Linked DNA regions of Canis lupus familiaris. The protein of the gene in region 2 interacts with the protein of the main gene of each other region in a biochemical or structural test. Links are inferred from orthologs where the notes say so. Each region holds a gene or a part of one and is shown on either strand. Other genes may lie near its edges.

Region 1 (4,334 bases), on a different chromosome or scaffold from region 2:
AGTAAAGAAGGGAGCGGTGATGCAGCCCTTCGCCCCTGCGCCCCACACTTTCCCCAGCCTTCCACCTCTCCCATGGTCATTTCCCCCCTCACCCAGGTCAGCTTCTTTTGTGATTAGCTCACAACCAACCCACAATCATTTTACATTTCAGAAGAACTTCTCAACCAACTGCAGAAAGAAATCTAATTAGATGAGAAGAGTAATTCACATTAAGGTGTGGATGACTAATTTTCTTATCTGTCCTAATGGACATTTGCATTTGTAAATGTTTGCCTAAAAGAAATCTCCTATTCGTGGAGGGGAGGGGGGCAAATCTTTTTTATAGAGAAGGCTTTGGAAATGAAAGTTCTCCCTGGCTCTCATTGTCTAGTTCAGAAAGCCATTTCCTTTTCTTTGTCCCACCCCCACTCCTTCCCCCCAAAGCTAAGCCAGCTCTGGGCTCCCTTCTTGAATGATTGCCAGGCACAACCTGAGTGTCTTCAGAACAGCCATTAGGTGGCGCTGGCAGCCAGTCAGCTGGCTGAAGGGGCAACCAGGAGAGCATTTGATCAACCTTGATGTCCAGTCTTGTTTTTTTTTTTTAAGATTTTATTTATTTATTCATGAGAGACACAGAGAGAAAGGCAGAGACATAAGCAGAGGGAGAAGCAGACTCCCCGCAGGGAGCCCGATGTGGGACTCGATCCTTGGACCCAGGATCACACCCTGAGCCGAAGGCAGATGTTCCACCACTGAGCCACCCAGGTGCCCCTTGATGTCTAAGTCTTGACCAGGGGTAGGCTGCCCCCACTGTAGCATTTTGATGCTCCAGTTCAAAATTGGAGCCCAAACTTGGTGGGCAAAGCAATTTAAATTAAAGCTCTGATGGGGTGCCTGGGTGGTTCAGTCTGTTAAGCATCTGGCTCAGGTCATAATCTCAAGGTTCTGAGCAGGGATCCTGTTTCTCCCTCTGCCTCTCTCTGCCACTCCCCCGGCTTGTGCTCTGTGTGTGTGTCAAATAAATAAAATCTTAATAATAAAAAAAAAGCTCTGAGATTATACAAACATCTGGGTCAGAAAAATGTGAGATTTACAAGAGAGGCAGAAAAATGGTCATTACATATCACCGTGGGCAAGTGTAAAATAACATTAGTAGAGAAAAAGTAAAATCATACAGATCTGCCAGTCACTTCAATTATACTTCAATTCTCCTCAAGGCTGGCCATTCTGGGATGATTTCCATTTTCTTAAAACCTACCTCATGATTTCAGGCCTTCCTGAGAAGCCCCAGAGAGCATTTCTCCTCTCTCTACTGCACTGGCTGTGTCGTACAACATAATAACATTCACACTGCCCTCCCTCTCAGAGTTCCATTCTACTGCTAAAAAGTCAGTTTCCTGAAAGCAACTTGATTTCTTTTTGCTTATGTGTATTTTCTATTTTTCTATAATGAACAAATATTATCTTGTGTCATTTTTTACAAGCAATAAAGTAACGAAGAAATGTCAGATATTGTGCTTTTGTAGGTAGGGATAGTGTTATATATAATTTAATAATTGAAAGCCTTGGGAAAATAAATAGAAATTTATGATTTACTAATCTTGACATTAACTTTAAACAGAACTACTTTTATGAGAACTTCATATGTGTAGGCAAATTCTCTTTGAGCTAAACAAAATATTGTTTGTCAGTCTAAAACTGCACACTGGTCATGCCCTTCTGTAAAGATTAGAGGAGCAGAGGTGCAGAGTTTTCTCCTTTCACCATGACACACGTGCATCAAGTCCTAAAACAAAAGTGCCAAAGGAATATTAAGTCATTAAATAAGGTTTAATCTGTGCAAATGTTCACAAGTGACAAAATAAATGCACTTGTACTTTCCTTGGCTTCTTCCAGCCGTCTGTGAGAATCACCACCTTTCCATTTATACACGAAAAATTGGGGGGATCCAAATGCCCTGCAGACTCTTCCTCCTTCATTGGAAATCTCCATCAACTAAGCCTCCAACAGCTCAAAGGGTTGTTTCCACCCTGCAATCTAGGGTCTTCAGGATAGAGGTCCACTCTGCGGTCCTATTGAGGGCACCCACAGGGTGTTCAGAACCTTGGACAGTTCCCACACGGGGACACCTCTTTTTAACCCCAGTTGGGTCTTAGAGACCCGCATCTGCATCCAGACACCTCAGGTGCCCTAAAGTGGGCAGAGAAAGGAGGATTCAGGGGTCTGAATCCAAAGAAGTCTGGAATGCAGGGATTTTATTGTAACTTCTAGCCTTTGTTCTCTTGCTCTCATTTCCAACGTTAATTTGCTCTACAGCATATGGTATCTTTTAAGAAAAGAAAATCGAGAGGAAGAGGAACCAAAAGACAGGGCTTTACCGAGATCTCCCCCCAGAAGGCGGTAGGAGTCTCAGGGGTCCTAGCAGCCCGACTCCCCGGGAAAGACACGGCCGCCGGCTCCTGGAAGGGACCGCTTTCAGCGTCGCAGCCGCTCGCCCACCATCCCGAGGCTTCCCGCGCCGCATTCAGGACAGAAAGTTTTCAAGGAACTCAGGACCGCAGCGAGCCAAAGGCGCCTCAAGTCAGCGATCGGAGCCGGGCGAGATCATCCCGAGGCCCAGGGGCAGGGGGTTTCGGGGTAAGAGCGAGGTTCGGCGCCGCTGCGCCCTTACCTGTTGCAGAGGCTGCGCTCTGGGCGACTCCCGCTGCGCTGGGCGAGGATGCTCGGCGGCCTCCTCAGGTCACTTTTCTTCTTTCTCCTCCGCCGCCGCCTGGTCCGAGTCGCTCTCCTCGGTCCTTATATACCTGCGGGGCTCGCCCGGGTGGGCAACGGACGTGAACTTCCTGGCAGCGTAACAAGCAACTCCCCCGACCGTGAGAAGGGGGGCCATAGGGCTCAGGAGGGAGGTTTCCAGGTAGGGGCTAGAGAAAGGGCAGAAGTGCCCGGAAAGGGGGCCGGGTCTCTACCCCGCAGGCTGGAATTAACACTGTCCTGCTGAAGGGTGCACCTGGCAGCTATCAGGAGAGAACTTAATTAAGGATGGTGTTGGGTCTCCAGTTAGGACGAGCAGGTGGCTTAGCACCCCGGTGTGGGGTAGGCCTGGAGCGCTGGCTGAGGTCTTTGAGGAGAGGGTGAAGTTACTTGTGTGCGTGCTTGGTCTGGCATCTGCCTCGTTCACACTTGGAGGTAAATATTCCACAAAGGGGAGTGTGTCTGTAATGCCTCAGATTTCCCCATCCTTTGGAAACTGTGGTGAAGATGTCATGGGGAATCACAATCCCTCTGCCTCAGGTTAGCAGAGTAGGTTGGTGGGAACCAGGGAGGTAGGGAGGGGAGCAGAAAAGGTCAGGGGTCACTCACCTGAGGCCCAGGGAAGGTTGCCTTCTTGGAGGTGTGAAGGCAAGTTGCACTGCCGCTCCTGGGGCCTAGGCCAGAGCAGGCTCCTTCCTGTGCTCCAGACCCCAAGGAAAAGGTGCTGTTAACCTTCTACTACTAATGGGGAGGGGAATGGGGTGCTCTATGGAGAACAGCTGAAGTACTTTCCCTATGGTCTACCTTAACCTGGAGTAAAGAAGAAACAAATTGTGAGGGGCGGGGGTGGGAGGGAGTGTTAGAACAAAACTGAACTTCAGATCAAGGTGCTTGTTTTATTTATTTATTTGTTTGTTTGTTTGTTTATTTATTTATGCGCTCATTTTAGTCTGCCAATTGCAGCTTTCTTTATTCCCAGTCAGATGTTCTTTCGGACTCCAACACTCCTGTGAGAATTCTTGGTTGGTGACATTGGCTTTATAGTCCACAATCCTTTCCTTTTGGGATACAGGAGAAATCTAAACTCCTAAACAGTAAACAAGATTGTTTATCACTTGACCTTGCCCTGAGTCTCAAGGGTCACTTCCCACCTGTCCATCTTACATCCTGGCACTTCAACCATCCACAACATTCCTTTTTCCTTTTTTTTTTTAAGTTCTATTTATTTTATTTATTCATGAGAGACACAGAGAGAGTGGCAGAGACACAGGCAGAGGGAGAAGCAAGCTCCCTGCAGGGAGCCCGATGCAGGACTCCATCCCAGGACCCCAGGATTATGACCTGAGCCAAAGGCAGACGCTCAACCACTGAGCCACCCAGGTCCCCCTCCAATATTATTTCCTTAAGAGACTTTTTCCTTAGTCAGATACTTTATTGCTTTTTCCCCAGTCTGATGTTTTACATCTTCTTGAGAGATTTCTTATAATGACATTTTCTTAATGGAATATAGAATGAATAGTGTCAGGTGATAATATGATTTTTCCCCTTTACTGGGATAATGTGGTGAATAGCATTGTTGATTTTTAGTGTTACACCTACCATGT
Region 2 (2,921 bases):
TCTGAGAGACAGAAATAGTTTTATGGCTTAAAATCTCGTGTGTGTGTGTGTGTGTGTGTGTGTGTGTGTGTGTTTAAGCTGTTTTTCTCTCAACAGAAGCTTCATTTCTATTTCTGCAACAGGGAGAATGAACACATTTTATTACTTAAAATTTCAGTTGATTGTTTTAATGACCAAGTATCTATTGTTCAATATCCACCCCCCATGCTACATTCAAATCTGCACATTTCATGTGATATAGTATAATATAAGAAGTTACTTATCAGGCTACATAGTTAATGATTCTATGATTTCTATGTTTCCTAAAGCAAGCAAAGTGCCAAATCCTCGTGAATAACAAGAAACACTGATATGCTTTTAATGGAAGCTTTTTTCTTTTCTAGAAATTCAAAGTGTCTACAGCGTCGAAATGGATTAACAATGCACAGCCCAAAAGTAGCATGACATTAGCAATGTACAGAGCCTGGGCATTTTTTTTTTCACATCAAAACATCATAAAGTTGAATTTGTGCAACAGATATTCTCAACTCCTGCCTTATACTGAAGAAGCAGCTGTTGTCCAAGCACACAGTTCATGTTGTGTGAGGATGAAGAAGTCTCTGGTGCATGTTTTTAGTACTTCCTCTGTCCCCAGCTAGTATCTGCTAGACAAGTCACAAAGGCCACCCAGAGGATAGCAACAGATGATCTCTTTGAAGGTTTTCCTCAGCTCTTGGCTCCGGAGTGCATAAATGAGAGGGTCGATGATGGAGTTACACATGATCAGAATGAGGTACAAGTTAAAGTGAGACATGAAGCACACACAGTATGGATTCTGGGGACAAGAGATGTAGAATATCAAGTGGAGGAAGAATGGAGCCCAGCAGACGACGAAGACCCCAATGAGTATGGTCAAGGTAATGGCACCCTTCATGTTGGCCCCTTGGCGGATGGTGCCGGTGCCCGGGAGGACGGCGATTCTCTTGATGTGCAGTCTGGCCATGAGGAACATGTGGACGTAGAGAGAAGCCATGAGGGCCAGCATGGTGAAGAACATGGTGATGAGGCAGATGATGACAGCAGTACTGTCCGAGTAAATGATGAACAAGATGCCTGACACCGTGCAAGCCGCCCAGATGCAACTGATGATGATCCCAACCCGCCTCACCGTCATGATGTTATGGTACTGGAGGGCATAAAAGATAGTAAAGTACCTGTCCACTGCAATTGAGAGCAGGCTGCAAATCGAGGCGAGCAAGGAGCTACAGATCACCGAGTCAATGACATTATCAATATTCACCGTGAAACTCTGCGCGTCCGTATCCGTACTGTTCAACAGGGTGATGACGATGGTCTCTGACCCGTTGGAAACGCTCACCAGCATATCGGCCACAGCCAGGCTACAGATGAAAAAGTACATGGGTGAGTGCAGATTCTTGTTCTTGGCTATTGCCACGATCACCAGAATGTTCTCCAGCAAGCTTATGACCCCCAGAGTCACGAACACCTCCGGGGAGACGAAGAGTTGCTCGTAGCATCCCCCGTCGGGGTAGCCTTTGCCAAGGGACTCAGTGGCGTTGCCGTGCTGTCCGTAGGTGCTGCGGTTCCAGAAGTGGAGAGAAGTGTGCATTCCGTGCTGAAGGGTGGAGTTCATCCTGCAACAAGTGTATGCAGACCCCCTCGGGACTGATTCGGCCTCTCCAGCCAGGGAGCCCCGGTGATGTTCTCCCCCTCTCCGTGCGTCCCAAAGTTCTGAGGATCCAGCTGGCCTGCCAGGTGTTGAGTACCTGTCCCGTGCTCCAAAAGGCTGGCAGTGGAGCTCTTACTGTCTTCCAGGTACAGCTCCGATCACCTTCACTGTAACATCTTCGATTTCTGAAATGCTCATTCTTAGTTCAAAGAGTCTGCTCTTTGCTTTTTCTTTTTTTCTTTTTTTCTTTTTTCTTTTTCTTTTTTTTTTTGTCCTCACTCCCACCTTAACTTTAGTCTAGGGCATTCAGTGAGGTCTGTTGCAAGTAATTCTCCGAGTTGCCGCCGAGCCACCAGGAGCTGAATCTGCGTGCACATGTTCGCATCAGCTGCCTCCCCACGGTCTTAGTTCCCAACCCGAAGCATTGCTCTGAGTGTTAGTGGCTGCTGCTGATTTTATGGTGTGGGGAGGGGAAGAAAAAAAAATGTTCAGAGTGGCTCCTCCTCTGCTTCCTCCTGACCAATCCAAACGCACTGGAAGTCTGTGAGGCACGGCTGATATTCCAGATACAAATTGCAGGGCAACACGGATCCAGATGCAGAAGCTTGTGGAATTGGGGGAAGCAAGCAGGATGAGAGAGACTGGATTCTCCTTGCCAAGTTTTCAAGGAAAACAACTTGGTCCCTGGAGACTGTTCCTTGATAACACAACAAGCCAGGCTCCCCCAGCTTTATTTCTGCTTCAAAGAGAGACACTTGTGTTTCTCTGTGTGTGTGTGTGTGCGCGTGTGTGCCCACGCAGGCATTTGTGTGCTTATGTTCCTGAAATAGACACGCTGCCTTTTTGGTCAGGATATTGAATTTGTTTACTCTCAATTTGTTTGAATTAAGAATCCAGGAAATAATGCTTCAATTTCCAATACCTGAAAGACAGGGAGAATATCTGATAATACAGGTACACTGTGCTCCGGATGGGAGAACTGATGTAGGTAGCTACAGTTTATCCAAGGATTCTAGACGGGGTTCATTTTTTTGTTTGTTTGTTTGTTTTGTTTTCTTTTTTTGTGCACTAATAGCTGATAATTCTCCACTGCAGAGTTTCTGTTATCATGGCTGGGAAAGTTTTATTCTCATTCATGATATTTAGAAGCCATATGGTGATAGTATAAACTATATTTACTCTGCTCTCAAAAGGAAAAAGATCAATAATTGGGCAAAACTCAGTCTTTAAGCTTTATTGACATACAACTGAT

The links.
Region 1: the proteins of MC4R (region 2) and POMC form a complex in vitro, tested with the Homo sapiens proteins (2 studies listed by BioGRID). The link is inferred for Canis lupus familiaris from reciprocal best matches to the Homo sapiens genes MC4R and POMC.

Annotation. Positions count from the first base shown.
Region 1 is NC_049238.1:19,500,821-19,505,154, forward strand, and holds the start of POMC (pro-opiomelanocortin), read right to left. Parts: upstream 2,810-4,334; 5' UTR 2,651-2,809; intron 1-2,650.
Region 2 is NC_049222.1:16,213,133-16,216,053, reverse strand, and holds MC4R (melanocortin receptor 4), read right to left. Parts: upstream 1,634-2,921; coding exon 635-1,633; downstream 1-634.